Regions from separate parts of the Mus musculus genome. Here regions 2, 3 and 4 are each reported to be linked to region 1. Evidence: microRNA targets listed by miRTarBase, many of them from high-throughput screens and not tested one by one. Region 1 holds a microRNA gene; each other region holds the end of a gene's coding sequence.
Evidence for each region. Region 1 holds the annotated microRNA mmu-miR-181a-5p (AACAUUCAACGCUGUCGGUGAGU, at 1,684-1,706, opposite strand). A microRNA usually pairs through its seed, bases 2 to 8, with sites in the 3' UTR of a target mRNA and lowers its output. Matches are read on the target gene's strand: a 7mer-m8 pairs with bases 2 to 8, a 7mer-A1 pairs with bases 2 to 7 and ends in A, and an 8mer does both.

Region 2: the mRNA of Sfmbt1 is a reported target of mmu-miR-181a-5p. Seed matches in the 3' UTR shown: 8mer at 1,093-1,100, 8mer at 1,831-1,838, 7mer-A1 at 2,678-2,684 and 7mer-A1 at 4,400-4,406.
Region 3: the mRNA of Scn4b is a reported target of mmu-miR-181a-5p. Seed matches in the 3' UTR shown: 7mer-A1 at 3,436-3,442.
Region 4: miRTarBase lists Pisd as a target of mmu-miR-181a-5p. Seed matches in the 3' UTR shown: 7mer-m8 at 4,151-4,157.

Annotation. Positions count from the first base shown.
Region 1 is chr2:38,849,376-38,854,446 of GRCm38, reverse strand. Mir181a-2 (microRNA 181a-2) reads right to left here and starts at 1,712; the gene lies at 1,637-1,712. The region is part of intron 3 of Nr6a1 (nuclear receptor subfamily 6, group A, member 1); the gene reads left to right. It overlaps Nr6a1os (a long non-coding RNA gene), which reads right to left. Exons shown (of 7, transcript XR_866167.2): 3 at 2,088-2,232. It overlaps Mir181b-2 (microRNA 181b-2), which reads right to left and starts at 617; the gene lies at 529-617.
Region 2 is chr14:30,817,275-30,822,345 of GRCm38, forward strand. Sfmbt1 (Scm-like with four mbt domains 1) reads left to right here. Exons shown (of 21, transcript NM_001166532.1): 21 at 434-5,071. The coding sequence ends at 574. Among named protein-coding and RNA genes, the nearest start is that of Stimate, 5.8 kb to the right of the region's middle.
Region 3 is chr9:45,149,682-45,154,752 of GRCm38, forward strand. It overlaps Scn4b (sodium channel, type IV, beta), which reads left to right. Exons shown (of 5, transcript NM_001013390.3): 5 at 730-4,474. The coding sequence ends at 823. Among named protein-coding and RNA genes, the nearest start is that of Scn4b, 14 kb to the left of the region's middle.
Region 4 is chr5:32,732,608-32,737,678 of GRCm38, forward strand. It overlaps Pisd (phosphatidylserine decarboxylase), which reads right to left. Exons shown (of 8, transcript NM_177298.3): 8 at 3,707-4,847. The coding sequence ends at 4,623. Gm52771 (a long non-coding RNA gene) reads right to left here and starts at 1,014. Exons shown (of 2, transcript XR_003955740.1): 1 at 789-1,014. It also overlaps the pseudogene Gm2420.

The DNA of each region.
Region 1 (5,071 bases):
AATAGTAAATGTGGTTTGTTAAGCTTAAAGTATATAGCTGAGTGTAAAGGTAAATTGAAGAGCAGTGAGTTCCTTTTGTTGCCATTGAACTTCCCCTGAATTACAGTTTTGCCTCTGTTTTTATACATGTAGATAAGTCTTCAAAGGTATAAAATTTTTCTTTATGTTGTGTGAGTAATACTATTAAATGGATGTTTTTATGTAGTTTTCATAGAAGGAATGTATTTGAGATGAGGATAGATTTAAATTCTTTTCATATACTTTTATTTTAAAATAATTATGTATATTTAAGTATTATTTTTAAATATTATGATGTCAAGGCATATTAATCCTTTTGCCTGTGATAATATAAATTTCCCAAAACTTGGAATATTTGAGAAGAAAATAAAAAATACTAGGAATTATAGAGCTTCTTCCATATTAGAAGCAAAGAAACTAAAGAGACTTTAGATAAAAGATTGAGGTCCCACCTGGAGCAGTACTTCCGTACTCTGGTGACTCTCTGGGAGTACTTTTGTTTCTTTGCGTTTTTTGGCCCGCAGTTTGCATTCATTGATCAGTGAGTTGGTTGACATTCAAACCCACCGACAGCAATGAATGTTGAGTGCAGCCATCAATGTTTCCTTTTGATGAAATTGTCTTGGTCTTTTCTATCTCCTGGCTCTTCTTCCCACTATGGTTCTTTGAAGTCTGTTGTATGTTAGTAACTAGTCATCTGTATGGTTGTGGACTCATAATTATAGATCACCTTGACTGTATAGCAAGAACTTGTTCAAGACAGAAAAGTTGTGAGGAAGAAGGCACTATGTGAGAACCTTGTAAGTAGCTCTGATCACATGGGCTGAGACTTGGATGTTGATGTCTGTAAAGGAGCCCTCAGAGACATTGCTTCATCTTTTGTTTCAAGCTGAGACGTTAAGTGCCCTTTTCAAGGTAAAGCAGTATAGATTATGATTGCAGTTAAGTAAAAATTTTTGTAGTAAACATTTGCTGTGAGCCAGAAACTGTTCAAAGTACCCTCATATATCTTCTCATTAAATTAAAACTCTGAGGTTCTCTCCTCTCCTATTCTACATTTGAGAAAACATACTTGGATACGGAGGCTCAGAGATGACCCAGAATTCCTTAAATTAGCACATGGAGATGGAAATGTATCTGGTTCTCTCATGGAGATGTCAAATCCCTAACCGCAGTAACTGAAACTGGAGGCACAATATGATTTGTATAGACAGTGAGTAACTCTGTGAGTATTTTTGCTGAGTAAATCTCTTGACCCTAAAGCAAAAATTTGAAAGGACGTAGAAGAAATGAGAATAAAAGACTTAACTAGATTTTTTTCCTACAGTAAATAGACATTTTTAATACACCCTATTTCTGACTAGAATGACACATTTCTAGAAGATATTTGAGTGCATTTGGTACTATGATGGCACTTCCCATAAATTGTTAAAATGAAACACTTATTTATCAAGAAATTACAAAAAATAGACAATATAAATACATGGAAGCTTAAAAAAAAAACTTGCTGGTTCCCTTTAGAAAAGAGGCCACAGGACTGTATCTTGTGATGTCTGTCACATGATATATCTGTACAGCCTACTCCTTTGCTTCAGGAAACTTGTTGTCTGTAAGAATCCCAAGGTACAGTCAACGGTCGGTGGTTTTTTTGTTTTTGAATCCCAAACTCACCGACAGCGTTGAATGTTCCATGGAGTCCTCTTAAGGCTGGCTTGGTTGCCCATCTTTGGCCTGCTCTCATATTCTAAGGACCACTGCTGTTGGGTCTCTCACATTCTTCCCAAAATTTCAAGTTAACAGTACTTACACTGTGAAGTTAGTTTGCATAAAGCAGAAATGAGCTGCAGGATTGTGAGACTGCAGTTTACATTGCTGACTAAAAGTGGATATCTGTGGAAATATTTTTCAATGCTATCATTCTGAAAACATCAATATAGCAATTTTGTAGTAATACTTTAATTATTAATGTACAAAAACAAGAAAGACCATAACACATGCTGGGGACTTATGTGTAGTAGGATTTGTATATTTAATTCCAACCGTGTTTTCCTTAAGAAACAGAGACTTACCCGGAGTTCCATAGCCAGAACTTGAACACCAGAGTTCATTGTTCCAGTATTGGTTGGATATGTTGCTTTCTCCTTCCTTTACCAGTCTCAGATTTGAACCTTTACTGCAGAGCTAAATCAAACAAGCAAATTCCTTCTTGTTTGCCTGTAATAGTAGAAAATACATCTAAAGTCATATATTTCAGAGAAAAAGATGAAAAACAAAACTCAGTAGCTGAGAATCATGGGCTGCTAAATTACCACAGAAGTGCTAGTGATGCTCCATGATTTTTTTTCCCCATATAGGAAAAGTAAAAATTCTATGTGTACTAGAGCACAGAGAGTGTATCTGGAGAGATGACTCAGCAGATAAGAACTTGTACTTTTCTAGGCGGGACTTTGATCCCAGCACCTGTCTTAACCACAATCTGTAACTACCAATTCTTGCTGCAGGGATCTGTCAACTCAAGCCTTCACAGGCACTTGAACAAACACACACACACATACATACATACATACATACATACATACATACATACATACATACATTCATTCATACATACATACATACATACATACATACATACATACTTAAAAAATAAAAATCTTTAGAAGAACACAGAGCAACTAAAATGCCAGATGTATCTGATCTTTGTTTTGGGTGGTTATTTTTTATTACTTATTGACTTTCTTTTCCCCCCTCCCTCCCTCTTTTCCTCCTCATTTTTTTCTCCTCTCCTCCCTTCCCATCCCTCCCTCTCTTCCCCTCCCCCTTCCTTCCCCTCCCCTTATCTGGAACTCTCTTTATGTAGAGCAGGCTGCTTCAGACTCAGAGATCTGCCTGCCTTCCTCTGAGTGCTAAGATTAAAGGTTGTATCATCATGCCTGGCTATTTATTGAATATTTTTTATGAAAAGTCTTGAAAACTAATTAAACATTTTTCAGAATATTGGCTTTATTTTAAGCAACATAGAAGCTTTGTAGAGCTGCTGGCTGAATTGAGGTTAATATCTATCTAATCTAGGATACTTTGTGTTTAAATATTTTCTTAAATGTATTTATTAAATTTATTATTTTTATGTGTATGGGTGTTTGCTTAAGTATATGGCTGATAATCTCAAAGGCCAGAGGAATGTGTCAGATTCCCTGGAACTAGAGTTAGATGGTTATAAGCCCACATATGGGTGCTGGGAATCAAACTTGAGTCTTCTGGAAAAGCAGCCAGTACTCTTTTTTTTTTTTAAAGATTTATTTATTTATTATATATGAGTACACCTTAGCTGTCTTTAGACACACCAGAAGAGGGCATCAGATCTCATTACAGATGGTTGTGAGCCACTATGTGGTTGCTGGGATTTGAACTCAGGACCTCTGGAAGAGCAGTTAGTGCTCTTAACTGCTGAGCCATCTCTCCAGCCCCCAGTACTCTTTAACCAATGAGCCATCATTTCTCCAGCCGCTTTGGGTTTAAATACTGATGGTTGACCTAGCTGAAGATTCTTTTTTGTGTTTGTTTGTTTGTTTTCGAGACAGGGTTTCTCTGTATAGCCCTGGCTGTCCTGTAACTTACTCTGTAGACCAGGCTGGCCTCGAACTCAGAACTCAGAGATTCACCTGCCTCTGCCTCCCAAGTGCTGGGATTAAAGGTGTGTGCCACAATGCCCAGTGATGAAGATTCATTTTTAAAGTAGCCAAATGGCACTTCTTGAGAGGGAAAAAAAAAAAAAAATCAGCGAGAATTTGGTTCAAATGGAATTGTTTACATTCTGCATCACTTTATTTCATTCTCCATCAAAATTCTTCTCTTTTTTTTTTAATATTTATTTATTTATTATATGTAAGTACACTGTAGCTGTTCTCAGACACTCCAGAAGAGGGAGTCAGATCTCGTTATGGATGGTTGTGAGCCACCATGTGGTTGCTGGGATTTGAACTCCTGACCTTCGGAAGAGCAGTCGGGTGCTCTTACCCACTGAGCCATCTCACCAGCCCCAAAATTCTTCTCTTGTAATCTTTGCTGAGTTCGGTTGTTGTGAAATGGAAGCCCAAAGAAATGAAAATATAGGGGCTAGAGAGATGGCTCAGTGGTTAAGAGCACTGACTGCTCTTCCAAAGGTCCTGAGTTCAATTCCCAGCAACCACATGGTGGCTCACAACCACCTGTAATGAGATCTGATGCCCTCTTTTGTGTGTCTGAAGACAGCTACAGTGTACTCATATAAGTAAAATAAATTTTTAAAAAGGAAAGGAAGGAAGGAAAGAAGGAAGGTAGGTAGGAAGGAAGGTATCTTCCTGTGTAGTAGTTTAAAACCTCTGGCTTAGGTTTATTTTAAATGGTCTTTGCCTTTGTCTCCTAAGAGATGTCAAGCTTTATATTACTTAGAACAGATAATCAGAAACAGTGATATCTGCTGCACCAAATTAAAATATAAAACCTGTTCTTCAGTGTACAGCATTCCAAGAATCCTGTTCTTGATATGGAGATACTTCCTGTTGTATTTGAGATACTTTTCATCCCCCCCTCCCCCCCCCCAGATAGGGTTTCTCTGGGTAGTCTTGGATGTCCTGAAACTCAACCTATAGACCTGATTGACCTGGACTTTAGAGATTTACCTGCCTCTGCCTTTGGAGTGATTGAATTAAAGAAAGGATATGCCACCACAACTGGCTACTTTTTATCTTTTCAAGATCTTTATTATCCTTATTCCTTCAATTTCCCTTAAGCCTTTAATTTTAGTTTCATCATTCACAAAGTATACATTGGTTATTTTCCCTTTATTGTTATTGTTAATTTTTTTTTAAAGTGTGTGAGCTTGCGTGCACACACTACACATGAACAGGTACCTGTGGAGTCCAAAAGAAGAAAAAAAATGGTATTGCATACCTAGGAGCTATAGTTACAAGTGGTTGTGAGCCTCCTGCCTGTTGCTGGGAACCAAACTCCCAACCTCTGGGAGGTACATGTAGCAAGCACATTTAGGGAGCCAGTCACCTCTGCAGCCTCA
Region 2 (5,071 bases), not on the chromosome of region 1:
TAGCCTGGGCTACATAGTGATTTTGAAGCCAGTCCAAGCTACATAGTAAGACCACGTCTCAAAAGTAAAACAGCCCTATCATCTTTGAATTCTTTTATAAATTGTACAAGGTAGGCGAACATTAAGGTTTATAGTTAGTATTTTCAGATAGTTTTGGATTTAGATAGAGTGCTTTAAAAGTATTTTCTTTTCATAATTAGTTATTAGTTATAGGGTTCCTTAGGTACTGCCTTTCTGCTGAGCAGAATCTGTAGCTGAGAGTATCAAGGTTGGTAAATTTATTACTAATTCTGAAGGCTTTTCAGGGTAGCAGACTATGGTTCTTTTCAAAGGGAAAGGTAATAGGGGGGTCCCAGAACTGTAGTTGTAAGGGTTGATGCTAGGAGAGTCTGATTGTGTGCATATCACAGCCTTTGTTCTTTATTCTTAACAGGAAATCGACGGGCAGGCCCTTTTGCTCCTTACCCTTCCCACTGTTCAAGAGTGCATGGACTTAAAGTTGGGCCCCGCCATCAAGCTTTGCCATCACATAGAGAGAATCAAGTTTGCTTTTTATGAGCAGTTTGCCAACTGAGAAGGACGAGCGACTGAGCTGGGTCTTTGAAGCACAGTGCAGCAAACCCTTCGCCCTGCTCTGCAGGTGACTGCAGGAGTCCTGGGCTGTCCTGTCGGCCTGCAAGTGGTGGCTTGCTATCTTTGCACTTTCAGGGAAGGAGGACCCACACTGAGAAAGCAAAAACAGCACAAAAATGGCTCTCTTACAGTGGAAATATGGACTTTTGTTTAGAAGATTCCAGTTTAAAAAAAGTTGTGAGAAAACCGTAAAAGTCTGAATTACCATTAATGGGACCTGAAAACAAAGAATGATGGTGACAGCTGGACAGCACCAATTTGGTTATTTTCATTCTGTTCCTTCCCTCTGTAGATTGGACTCTGTTCTCTGCTTTCTCTTTCTTGAAAAGAGAGGACATAGCTTTAAGTCAGCACTGGTTGGGACTGTGCCTAAGGCACATCAGTGCTTCATTGTTGTGTTTTTAAGCTTTTTTAAATTAAAGCAGTTCATTTGGGGATAATTAAGTGGCTCTAGGGTTTTGAATGTATAGTCACACTTTGATCCATTTTAAATCTATTCTTAGGAGTTCCTTGGTTTACTACCTCTGTTGATGACTGCGCTTACAGCCATGAGTGACATTTTTTTGTATGATGCCATTTTTAAGCTGAATGCTAAAACTATGACAGAAATTAGAGAAGGCACTGCCTGCTTTCTTAAAGATATCATGCCGGCACTTACACCATCAGTCCCTTAACCAATTTGTCCTAAGAATTCTACTGTTGTGTCCTCCATCATGACCCGGTTTTGGTCACCATTGTTAAGTGGCTTTACAAAGACCAATGGGTAATTACTCTCTCCCTGTTAGTTCTGAAAAGTATTTAAGTGGCTTTATTTTATGTTTATTCTTCTGTTAGAGTTGTTTAACTACCTCTGTTTTATTTCTGGAGTTTCTGCTCTCAGTGAAAAATCAGTACGTGTTCTTTGGACCCACTGTCAAGCCCATTTTTCTGGTTTTCTAGGTATGTCCAGGTAGACACATAGCACAGAAATGTATCTTTGGGGATGGCACAAAGTATGAAGTTCCTTAATAGTGTCCTCGGTTATGAGTACTGAGAGGTAGTTGAGTCTATGACAAGCTACCCCAAATGTCCCAGATCTTATCCTTCTGGAAAGCTAAGCAGGGCCTGGTTGGTACTTGGATGGGAGAGGTGGTTAAGGAGTCTGGATATCTCTGTCTAGCCGCATTTATGCCTGTCTTCAGTTAAACCAACTTAAATTGAATGTAATTACAGTCTGAAGATTCCCACTCAGTAGCTCATTCTTTTGAAGTTTTTTCTTTTTCTTTCTTTTTTTTTTTTTAAATTAAACTCAAGTTGACATGAAGTTCCAGGTGAATTTTCACTTTCAATGGCATTGTTAGCTACTATAGAAGAACAGCACTTGCTCTGCCACAGCTGTGAGTAAGGAAAGATGTGTGTACACAGTTGCCTCTTTTGCTGTTTTCCTTGTTGATTATTTATTTATTTATTTATTTTTGATTACCCTAATTCCTACAGATTTATACCCTAAGCATTTTTCCTCAAGAATTGAAAATGTTTTAAAACTGCAAACTGAGTAACTTCTGAACAAGTATACAAATATAAGGTAATATTATTACAAATTTAAATTGTGAATTTTTTTTTCTTTTCTCAACTCAACCCCCACCTGTTTTTATGGACACTGGGAAAGTCTGTAGTCTGAATTCTCTTCTTCATTGGATAACCATCTAACGAAGTCTGAAAGCAGTAGCTCTTCATGTAGGGACCAACAGGAGTATCTGGGAGGAAGCTCCATTTACGTAATGGTTCATTTATTTGAGCTTACTTAGAGATCCATCTTCTAAACATGTGATTCTTTCATGCCATGAAGAGAAGCAGGCGTGATACTAGGAAACGGTATTGGCAGACTGACAAGCCGTGGCTCTCTTCATAGAATCTCCTGAGACTGCAGGAGTTGAGTCACCGATACAAAGGGAGTCTTGTGAGGACATAAAACCTATGCCTGTAGGATCTTACATTGTTACCTTAGTAAAATGAAAGGTGACAGCAGTGGCTGTAACTTACTTTCTTCTTGACTCAGATGACAGAATGTAGAACTGTCAGAGTTGGCAGGGATCGTGCCTGAAAGGGGAAGCACATGACCGCCCCGCCCAAGAGGGGCTGGGGGGGGGGGCAGCCATAACTCTTCAGTCTCTGCTTTCTCCTATAGGAAGACCAGCCGTGAGTTAGACAAGAGGGGGCTTCCCTAAATATTTCTTGGCACTCTTATTGGGATGCAGTGTACTTGGCAGTCACATCAAAGAATTATCTTCCCCATCCCTTCTCACAGTAAGAGGATAATTCTATGAGAATTTTGCAGAGGACTTTTTTAAAGTATAAAATTGTAATCCCAGACTGGGTGTGGTGATATATATACCTTTGATCCCAGTGCTTGGGAAGTGGAAACGAGGCTCACAGTGAATTCTAGGCCGGCCTGGGTTATATGAGACCCTGCCCTTTTTAAAAACTGTTTTTATTTCATGTATCAAAGAGGCAGGGGTTAGGCTGGGTAGCAGTTCCGATGCTGGGATGGTTTAAGTTCGATAATAGCTTGCATTGTTGGGGTAAGTGGCTTATGTTGCTCATTTGTATGTGAAGTCTGTTTCTGAGACAGCCAGCCTCAAGCTTTTTAAAGGTATGCTGTGAGGAGAGTGTGTGGAGTTCACCTGCAGCTGTCCTCATAGCTTGCCTGCAATCAAATTTTTTATGATCCATCTTTAACTTGAGTTGACAAACTTAGAAATACATGAATGGACTATACTGTCCTCCCAGACTTGGAAACTTAACTGACCAAAACTAGACTTTACAGCTATATTGGTCTTCTAGGGAAACCTTCAACTTTATGTACAGATTGGCTCTGAAATTTTGATCATATCTGCTGATTTCCATTGTGAAACATCTTCATCCTTTTCAAATACAGGGAATACATTAATAGAGCCTTTTAATTACACCTTTAGCCTTTCTTTAACAATTTATACAGCTCCCTGTTTTTATAATACAGGTATAGGAAGGGTACTGGCCAAGCTCTGGAAATGAAGATCTTGGTAAATGTTTATTATTGTATTTAAAAGAGGCAGACATAGAAAACCAGTTTAGAGTTTGACCTTTGTATGTCTCTTTGAGAAATAAAAGTATTTTCACTGAGGGAAAGGGCATTAGACCAAAGTTTCCTGAAGACTTGAATACATTTCACATGCTCTTTAGAACCACTTTAGTTACTGATGTGATGCCTGAATAAGGCAAATAGGATGAAAACATCCCACTCCTCTCAGCCCAACATTGTTTCCAAGGGACACAGAACATCGGGGGAGGGGGGAGTCTAAATGAAAGGTAATAGCAGTATAACAACTTGTAAAATCATGAAAACTGTCACTGGGACTTACTCTTAGTTGGCACCTCTCACCAGAGCTTGTCCAGTTTGAGTGATTGCCAACAGTGCTGGGAGAGTCGTTAGACTGGAAATAACAGAGTGTGAACTTGCCTTACATACTGGGCATATTCCATGTGTGTGGAAAACCACCCGAGTTCCCAAGTGTTCTTATGAAGTGAAGTAGAGAACTTGGGCAGACAAGATGCTCCCTTTATAAATTTGGATGTCTTTGGTCCTGGGATCTTTGTAAGTTCTGTGTCTTATGACCATGATGCTGGCTCAGAAACTCTGTAAGGACAGAGCCTCCTGTACAAACAAGAAATAATAGTCACTTTCCTGCTATTGGTTTTATTTACTTTAAATGTTTTACTCATGAACTTCGATGATTGCTTTGTATGAGAATGTATGTACTTGGGGAATTTGAATTTATTCTAATAAGCTACCTATTGACCTGGAGTTTTGTTGTAAGAACTCTAAACTCAAAGTCCAGTCCAAATGGATCTGGTTCCAGGTGCACTCTTTTGGGGTTGTTTTCCTTACTGCTTGTCTTCAGCCACATGGGTGACTTTGCTCTGGGAACGGCCTTAGGCACACAGGTAGTGGGTGTCAATGCAGCACATGCTGATTTTCTTGCCGCTGTGTTTAAGAAATCAAAACTTTCTAAGAACCAGCAAAACCGGGATGAAGGTTTGTAGGGGAGGTTGGGGGATTAAAAAAAAGCAGGTCTAAAACTCTCATAATGCTTTTTTCTGACAAGTCTGGTGTGGTAGGTACCTACCATGGTGAAGTGTTGTGAAAAAAAGACAAGCAACAGATTGACCAGACGGTTGTCACTACCAGCAGTAAAGTGCAGAGTGGAGCCACAGGGAAGCAAGGAAGGAAGAAAGGGAGGGAGGGAACTTGTGTGAGAGGGGAACTGCTCTCAAGTGGAAACTCAGGCAGAAGGGTTCCTAGATGGCTCATTCTGTCTATGTCTAGCTCAAGTCACAATTATTAGCAGAGGCTGAGAAGAAGCAGACAGTCTCTAGTCCTTTGTGAGAATCTCTGAGGTTTTAACTGCTCACATTTTCC
Region 3 (5,071 bases), not on the chromosome of region 1:
AACCTACCATCAGATTCGGGAAGCCTCTATATTTTCATTTCTATCATAGAAAATGTGAGTTCACGAAAGAGACTCTAGAATGGAGGGACTCTTTTAGGGAGAGGAGAAGTTCTGATAATTCAGTTGGGGGAGGCAGAAACAATGTCTGGCAGTCAAGCATGGCAGCTCGTGCCTGCCATCCCAGTGGTTGAGAGTCACACTTAGAAGATCCCCTTGAGTTCAAGACCAGCCTTGTCTACACTATGAGGCCCTGTTTTCATAAGCCAAACCTAAATGAAACTAAACTAAAACCCCAAAGGGTGACATGACCTCCTAGAACGTCCTAAGATAAGTTCAGTTATGGCAATAGGCATCTAGGGTCAGGGATGCTGCTAACTGATACAGGGCTTGCCTAGCATGTGTGAGGTCTTGGATTCAGTCTATTTCCTCACTAGAAGGAGGAGAAGGATGGGCAGGTAGAGAGGGTATGAGCCTGGCCCAGAATTTTCTGGAACAGCATCAGGCTGTCTTTAAAGCAGCAGGTGCGGAATCTTGGAAGGGCCAGAGCAAGAAAAAGGGACCAGAAAGGGGAAGGACACTAGAGAGCTGTGTTCTCAGCAAGACAGGTGACAAGGTAGGCTATCTCTGGAACAGAACAGAAAAGGCCAGGGAGAGGGTGCAGGATTGGCACAGGGAGCTATGCACCCACTCCTTCATCTCTTGTTCCTCTCAACTCTCTCCCCCCTCCAGGAAGGAGTGTCTCGTGAGTTCCTCTGGGAATGACAACACAGAGAACGGGTTGCCTGGCTCCAAGGCAGAAGAGAAGCCACCCACAAAAGTGTGAGGCCCTGCTCGGGCCAAGCAGGGCAGGGAGCCTCGCTTTCTGATGGTGATCCTGATGCCAAGTCCTATCTGAGATGTGTGCTGCTTGGCCCAAACTGTTCTTTCTGAGCAGGAAGGACCTGGCCCTGCCCAGCTGCCGTTCTCTCCCCAGCCAGGGCTTCCTAGGGACAAGGGTTGGTTGACTGGGGGAGGAAGCCTACAGGAGATTGAAGACAGGGAAGGGAGGGGCTGGAGTGGTGTGGAAGGTTGGTTCCCGGATCCTGGGCACGTGGGGTCTCCTTTAGATTTTCCCCTCTGTGAAGCCTTGTTTTCTCCTCAGTTTTCCTTCTGATCTTTCACCAGGAAATCGGGGTGACCAGTGAGGGCTGCTTCCAAAGCTGGGGTCTGGAGATGGGTAGAGGGTGACCGCTTCAGAAGCTGGGAATGCACAAGAAGTCTAGAATGGTGTCTTCTGGGGGGGGGGGGGGCAGTTGTGAGAGGCAAGCTGGGCTCTGAAGAATATCAGGCTTCTGGAAGTTCCTTTAGAGAGGACTTCTCTTTCCCTTACCCTAGAACACCTGCCCACACTGTCCTGGCTCCCCGACCAGCCTCCTCCTGCTGCCTGCCTAGTCTGTCTTTGCTCTCTGGGCTGCAGCTGCTGAGGAGGCTTGTGGGGAGGGGGCAGCCTCCACTCTCCTGGAGCACTGGGGTGCTATTTGCAGCTATACTGGCTTTGCTCTTTGGGTTTCAGAGGCAGGAGAACAGTGCCCCTGGTCTCCTAGCCTTTGGAATGTCTACCCCAGCCCTACAAGACTGACAGCCCTTGTCCTTGGCATGGCAGGACCATGCCACCCTGGCACTTCCGGAGCTCAGTTTTTCACTCTTCTTCCCTTCCCTTGAAACAGCTGGCATTGCCACCTTCCCTGAGGGATGCTTTCCTAGGACTTGTCATCCCATACCTTTGCTCCTTCTGTGTCCATCCAGCATGCCTGGCCTTCCCCTGCTCCTGGCCCCCCAGCTCTGGGTCTGCCTTTGCCTCAGGGACCCTTGTTTCCAGATGAGAAGGCCCTTGGCTTTTCCAGCTTCTTTTTTGCCCAGCTGGGCTGACTCCTCACCTAGCCTGAGGCTGAGGAGGAGCTGGGAGAAGGTACTCACACCTTCTCTTGACTTCTGGCAGAGCCGGCTTGCACACCCCCTGAGTGTGGGGCTAGATTGTGCCTTAGTTCCTCGAGTCCTGGTTCTGAGCCCCTTTTCTTTCGGCTCACACTCCCTGAATTAATTGCACAGCTTGGTGTGACTTTGGCGGGGCTCCCCAGCTCCTTACCCCAAAGCCATGGAAGAGACCATGAAGCCGGGGTTGGTGGCAGCCTTGATGACACCTGAGGGCACCCTTTCTTGTCCCTGACATGGAGATAGGATGGCATTTGATGTGGGACCTTCAGATGGGTTTGACCGTGTACAAACCGTAGTGCTAGCTAGGGTTTCTGTGATGTATGAAATGGGATACCCAAAGTCCCTCTTCCTCATCAGATTTCTGATACCCTTAATGTCAGAAGATGGAGATTAGTCCTCTTTTCAGGGGGGTGTAAGGACTGCTACAGGCTCTGCCCAGGAGTAGCTGAAGGTTCCCCCCCCCAAATGGAAGTTGGGGGAGACTAAGGCACAGTAGGATCTGTAGGTGACTGTGGCTTTGGCTAGTGTCTGTTGCCCAAGCCAAGGGGCTCTTGGGGTTGCCTCCACTCTTCCCATTCTTCTTTACCCAGAACTCATTGTGAGCTGGGTAAAAATTGCCCGTCTCCTGCTTTTTAAATATTTATTTGAGCAGAGTCTCATGTGTGGCCCAGGCGGGCCTCCACCTCTCTATGTAGCCAAGACTGGCCTTGAACTCCCAATCTCCTGCCTCCATTGCCACAGTGCTGGTATGACAGGTGTGAGCCCACACCCTGCTTAGAGTAACCTGGCTCTGAGAACCAACATGGCACCCGAGCCTCCAGCCATTCAGGAAACTTCCAGCTGCCTTCATGTAAAACTGCTTTCTCCCCCAACACTGGAAGAGGCCAAGTGTTGGGGGTTCTTCTTGCTTTCCTGAGAGGAAGCCAAGGCATAGAGCAGAAGAGAGGGAGGGACTCTCCCTTCCCAGCTTCCTGCTCACTGTCAGCTTATAGGCAGCCCTTGCAGCTTCTCCCATCTACCCAAAGGGTGAAATAATACCTACCTCACAGGACTGCAGTGAGGCTTGGTGAGATTTTTGTGTTTTTTGTTTTTTTGGCCTGGCTTGGAAAGGCACTGGGAAACAAGGCTAATAACCAGCGAGAATGTTCCACATCTATCCTGTCCTCATCTCTGGTTTGCATCCCAATAATATGCATATGCCTCATTCTTCTTCCTTTAGCAACCTTAGGCATCATGACTCAGATGCTTAAAGCATCTTTGTCCCCAGTTCTTTTTTTTTTTTGATGGAGGTACCTGGGACTATGGGAGTACTTTTTTATATTGTTGTTGCCCCAATGCCTGTGATAAATACTAGCGTTTAATGGATAGGGATTAAGAGCACAAATCTCAGTCCTCTTAACAAAGAATGTCTGGCCTAGTGCTAGCGGCATGCCTGTGCAGGCATTACCACGGATTGTGTTAGAATGTATATTTGCAAAGCCATTTTCTCTAGCCAGACCCTCTGACAGGCAAGTCTTCAAATAGCGATCTCAGGGTTGCTGAGGTTGGTCCCGGTGCCAGTGGGCTACAGCACCTCTCATACGGTTGACTTTGGGGAAACCTGGACCCATGCAGTTGTGTTGACCTTGATGTCAGTGAGACCAAAGACAAAGCACAAGTACCTTACTCTTGACTTCCAAATAAACTTCTGCCCTTGAGGGCTCAGATCCCTTGGTGTAGAAACTAAGCAGAGGGCAACTGGAATCAACCTGCAGTGTGGAAGGCCCAGGAGAATGACAGACAGGAGGGCAGCAGAATGTCACGTATCTGACTGACTCGCTTCTGTGGAGCCAGGGAGGCAAGAGCATCCTGCTGGTGGGAGGTGAGGGTGCACTTGTGTGGAGTGCTTGTGGTGTGTGGGAGGTGGAAAGGCGTGCCTAGTCAGTCTGCGGGTGCAGAGGCATGACAGAAGAGGGTGGGCTGTGCACGCGAGGGGTGATGTGGGATGAAGGGGTTGGGGGTGGGGCTCTGCATCTTCAGTAGCCTGAACTGGAGACTGAAGAAGGGTTAAGAGACATAAATGAACGGCTATGCTCCTGGATTCTACTGGGTGACTCCATGTCAGGGTGACAGACGACTGCCACCGGAGGGCTGGGGCAAGGATGCCCAAATGAGGGATTTGTGGGGAAGTCCTCTAGCTTGCTACATTTTATTTTGTCCCAGGTTGGAGTCCCTGCTCTCCCATCTCCCACTGGATGTGCAGTGCTTTTGACTATCTTATGCATGGTTTAGTCCTCTGGCTTGGATAACAGTACCCATAGTCAATTTTCCTATCTAACTTTATAGGCAATACAGTGGTGGGCCGTGGGAGCCTCCAGGAGGCACCGACCTGCACATGCCCAGCGCTTGCGTCTAAGCACAGATCGAATGCCATTAGGTTGTCTTGCCTCTACAATACATTTTGCATTGCAGACTTGGATTTAGCTTCGCTTTGGATGAAATAAAAATTATTTTTTAATAATTTGGGATGCGGGCTTTTTATTTTGGGTTGCTCGGAAGTTGAACTCCAGCTTCATCACTCCCCTGCCCCCCAGCTGACAAGTTTATGCTGAAAATGTTACCTGCTTAGGAGAGATAGCACATATCAAATGCTGTGGGGTTTTTAGCTTATCCAAGATATGTGTGTTGCTTTAATTCTGGACCTTTGGGAAGGCAGCCCTTATGCTATGTGTGTTGATGACCCTAGATACTCTGGAGCCACTGAAAGCATCCATATGAAGGATACAAATGCTAAACCTGCAGAGCCCGAGGAAGGGGTGTTGCTAACACGTTGATCTTGGAAGCATAAGGACCCAAGTTAGAGCCCCAGAACACTCATCAACAAAAATGGTGTGGTGGACTATTCTAATAATCTCTGCCCTGAGGAGTCAGAGACAGGAGGATTCTCAGGGCTCACTGGCCAGGCAGTTTAGCCCACCTGGCAAGCTCTAGGCCAGTGAGAGACCCTGCCTAGAAAGAAAACCACAAACCAACCAACCAACCAACCAAGAAACCAACCAAACAAACAAACAAAAGCTAGTGGATGGCACTTGAGGAGCAATGCTTGATTCTTTCCTCT
Region 4 (5,071 bases), not on the chromosome of region 1:
GTGCTACAAAGGGCATGGCTGGAGAAGTGACCCAAGCCCTTGGAGGAGCCCAGAAGATCGTAAGTTGGATCCCAGACATTGGACGGTTGGAGATTGACTTTTGCTTTTGATTGTGACTGTGCCCTGATATTTTCCCTCTTGAAGGAAGAAACTATTTTAGTAGAGCCCACAGTTAAGAGACTTTTAATTGTAAAAAGACTTTGGATTTTAAATGATATGGATATTTTAAAGAGATTGAAATTTTAAGAATATGTAAAGACTGTGGGATGTTTAAAGTTATTTAGACCTTGGGGATGAATAAGAATGTAAGGGTTGAGGCTTACTAGTGATGTGTTTGTGTGTCAAGTTGACAAGGGGTCAATTGTACTGGCTAGTTTTGTGTCAACTTGACACAGCTGGAGTTACCACAGAGAAAGGAGCTTCAGTTGAGGAAATGCCTCCATGAGATCCAACTGTAAGGCATTTTCTCAATTAGTGATCAAGGGGGAAAGGCCCCTTGTGGGTGGGACCATCTCTGGGCTGGTAATCTTGGGTTCTATAAGAGAGCAGGCTGAGCAAGCCAGGGGAGGCAAGCCAGTAAAGAACATTCCTCCATGGCCTCTGCATCAGCTCCTGCTCCCTGACCTGTTTGAGTTCCAGTCCTGACTTCCTTTGGTGATGAACAGCAGCATGGAAGTGTAAGCCGAATAAACCCTTTCCTCCCCAACTTGTTTCTTGGTCATGATGTTTGTGCAGGAATAGAAACCCTGACTAAGACAGAGGGTCTTCTGATAGGAAAGAACACATACCGTCAGCTTGCTGTGAAGGTCAAAAGAAACAGGTGCAGCTCCAGCACCCAGGAATCAGTCAGGAAGGCTGTAAGGGTCATGTTGAGTTGTCTAGGCTCAGACCTACCCTGTGCACATGCTGGCCTTCAGTCTCCCTGTAAAATGCCAAGGACTGAACCTTCGCGAGATCTTAGGTCCCCCCACAGACCTTGTCAGTCCAAGGAACAGACTATTTCTCTCCAGCAATGCAGCCCGCTCATCACGGAAACAGCCCCGACGTCCATCCTTCCTGCTTGAGCGTTTGGGGAGCCAGGTCCCCAGAGTGGTACACCCTTGGGAACAGCAGTAAGTTGAATGGTTGTGAGTCCAAAGGCACTGAAAACTCTGTGTTCCTATATTTTATTGGATGTCTGGTCCCTTTAATTCAGGGGAAGGTTCCATGGTGTGAGCAGCTTCTGCTTCTGCTTGGGTTAGAGAAGCCCCCGGAGGAGGAAAGCACGGCCCCGCTGGGAGGCCCTTCCCTGAAAAGACCCTTCCTACCTGGGGTCCTGCCGAATGTTCCTGATCCGAAGCTGCCTCCTATGGCAGGCCTGGAGCTGCTGCCTCCCTCCTCCATCATGCCCCGTGCGGCAGGAGGCACTGCCAGGGTGAGTTCTCGACTGCGCTGTCACTCACTCTCCTTTGGTGCTCATTCTCCAACCCTTACTACTCTTATTTCTAGAATACCTTGGTCACTTGACAAGCTTGGGTGCCCTGCACACCAGGCCTAAAACACAGCAGTGGCTAGTCTTCTAACACCCCAGCCCTTGAGCAATGACTGATGTCTGGACAACCAGAAGAATCTTATAGGTGGGCTCCCAGCAGGGCCTCTGGTCTTGGGGGACAGGAAGAAATTGAGGGGCTGTTGTAGGGCACCACATCTGGCCTGGACTCAGAGCACTAAGTGCTAGGGCAGCCATGAGCCGTGGTATGATCAGACAGACATGCTAGTGCTCTGGCTGTAGCCTCTCACTGGTGTGTGTGTGACAGTCTGTTGGGGACTGTCTTTGGTGGGACTTGCTATGCTAGGTATGGTGAGGACGGAAGAGGAATCCAGGGTCACTAAGAAAGAATTCTTTTACTAAAAGATGGAATCTGGGGTAGGGTCCAGTGTCTGGTGAGGCAGTCGGTCCCCATTCAATCAGCCTTCAAGGCTATGAGTATCTATACTGCAGGGCAAAGTCACCTGGAAAAGCATAGGGGACATGGGGTCCTGGGCAAAGGTAGCCAGGGGGGTACTCTTGAAAACAGCCAGTCGGCAGTTCCTAAAAGTTAGTGCCGACTGGGGAGGGGTGGAGACAGGAAGGAGGCAGTTTCTGGTGAAGAGTGGCTGATGACGTGACATATACCCAATCTCAGCACTTAGGCAGTAGAGGCAGGAGGATGGAGAGTTCAAAATGAGTCTAGGCTTCATAGCAAGACTCTGTCTCAGTAAATTAGTATTTAAGTAAGTATTTTTTTAAAAAAATAGTGGCATGCAGAAGAGAAGCCTTGGGGGTGCAGGAGTGGTGGGATAGGAGTGCCACCCTGGAACAGTCTTCCCTGAGGCTCAACAGGCAGGGCAGTCACCCTCAGCACTGCAAGGCCCAGTGGGCAATGAATCAGGACAGGACTCACTTCCCAGGGTCCCTACTAGCTTTCTTGTTCAGCATCCACCCTTTGCTCCTCTACAGGTGTCAGTGAAGCCCAGCATCCCTGGGCCTCAGCCTTGGGGGTGCCCGTCCTTACCCAGGGACCTTGATCCCCATCTCCTCCCCAGGGATTCCATAAGCACCTGGCTGGGCCTGTTTATGGCTCCGAGGCTACAGGTAAGTAAGTCAGGGTGCTGGGGCCACCCTCTACCAAAGCCCTACCAGTCTCCTGGGTCCTAAAGGGATGGTGGGCAAGGTCAGACTTACCTTCCTGTTGCTGCAGGCCACACAGAGCTTGAGGCTGAATTGGAGGGGATCCAGCAGCAGTTACAGCACTACCAAACCACCAAGCAGGACCTTTGGTGAGGCCCGCCAGGTGCCCTGAGACCTGTCTATGGGAATAGCTGTGGCTTGGAAAGGCAGTTAGTTCCATTTCCTGCAGCAGGGCCTGGGACTCCTCTGTGTGGTCTAACTCCAGGGGGTCGGGTGAGTGTCCTCTGGCACCTTTATCTACTCCGGGAAGGGTCAAGTTGGCCTTACCTAGGGCTGGAAGTCCTGTTTTCTATTTGGAGGTTATGGAACGCCAAGCAAGGCTTGCCTGGGTTCTGTTACCTACCTGACAACTGTAACTGTAATGCTAACAAGGGACAAACAGCGTGGGCCTGGGTCCTACTTATACCCAGTGTTCTGGGGACAGTTGACATACAGCAGTTTTCAGAGACCTCAGTGAAAAAGACTGATCCCTCTAGAAAGGGACAGGAAGAGAAGTTTTCACACGGCTCACATGAGTTGCTGTTTGCTGGGAAAGACAGAAGATTGTTGGCCATTCTCTCAAAGCACTTTATTAGCCAATATACCTCTTCAAAGGGCTCGCTTGAGGCTGTGCCAAGGACCCAGCCTGATAGGTGTCCCCATCTCCAAGTCATGCCAGCAACAAGCCAACAGCCTGCGTAGGTGGCTGGAGCTAAGCCAGGAGGTGCCGAGATCTAAGGACCTTCATCTAGAAGAGCAGGTGAAAACCGAACTGGAGGAGGTAAGCCCCTGGCTGTCCTTCCTTTCAGCTTGCCTTGTCCCTCCCTCTCTCCCATGTCCCCAGGTGGAACTGCAGATCCAGCAGCTGGCTAAGGAGCTCGAGGCCCAGTGTCAGCCTGAGACGGGCTCTGTGCTAGTGGGCCCATCCCTGGGGGACAGGTGCTATCCTTCACCAGGCCTTGGACACACTGCCCCACCCTCAACAACAAAATACAAAGCTACGGTAGTTTTTGTTTTGTTTTTTTAATTTCAAAATGTCTTGCAATGAAATGAATTACTGTTCAGAAGTCTCCTACTTTTCATACAAAATACGGTACTACTGATACAGTTGAAAAAGTTAAGTGATTTCTCCTGCAGGAGAAATTCATGGCATTCCCAAGATCGACATGAACTCTGGTCTTGTCCCTACCACTGGGTTCCCCATGGCCTGCATACCTGTTTTCTAGGTACTGACCTCTATACCCTCTGCCTCCAACACAGTCCCTAGACCAATAGCAGCATGTCCCCTAGTTCTGCAGGGCAGGGCCTCCACCTGCCCTTTCACTCCAGACTCTACCAGACAAGCCAGTAATTAATTGGTTTTGCCTACCAGCAAAAGGATTCAGCCAGCTTCTTAGAGCCTACAAAGGTCTACATCATTAGTCATTGTCCTCAGAAGACACTGGCAGAGCCCAGGATAACACATTCAGCATTATATAAATGATTTTACTTTTCCAGAAAGCAGACGGGTGAAATTGGGGAGCAGAAAGCAGTTATGAAGGCCATGTGGCCTGCTCTAGGAAGACAGTGGATCCACAGTCTGTGCCCAGCAGGCACCTCACCCTGTGCACATTGAGAGAGCCCTGTGACGGGAGGGGTCACAGCTAGAGGGTGTGGTAGTACACAGCCAGGAGTTAGGGGTGGGAGGCTCTGGCTTGTACAAAAATTTAAAACACCCCTGAAAGTGACTTTGGGGTCAAATCACACCCACCCATACTCTGAAAAGGGGTCTAGGTCCTGTCCTGAGAGACCCAGAACCTCTCCTCTGCACCCATGGACAGGCAATCTTATAAGGTCAGCCCCGCAGTGCCCCTCACCCAGACAGCCTGAGGCTCCGCTGAAGACCCTCATGCTCCTGTGTGGAAAGATCCTTTGGCAGCCACAACCGAGAGGACTAGAGGGAGCCCAGTGCTTCCCCAAAGCGGATCTTCTGCCCTGCCTTCAGCCTGAAGTTGAAGTCCTTGGGTGCCTCGAAGATGAGCACGATGGTGGAGCCCAGGTTGAACTCCCCCAGGGGCTCACCCTTGCGCATGGGAATGCCCTCCTTGTTGGCATGTGTTACAAAGCTCAGGTCATTGTAGGAGCCCTTGCTGTACCTGGGGCTGTTTGTGTGCAGGTCCTAGGAGCAAGAAGGATAAAGCTAATTAGCCTGTTGCCTGTTCTCAACCCTGCCCAGCCCAGGTGGCAGAGACAAGTCTCTCAGGGCAAAGGCCTAACTAATCAACACTCCCAGTATCAGCTGTGACTTTGACAAGGCGGGGCAGGGGTCAGACATAAATGCTGAAAGGTTAGCGCCAGCAGCAACCATTAACACCTAAAAAGGCAGAGTGGGTACCAGATTTT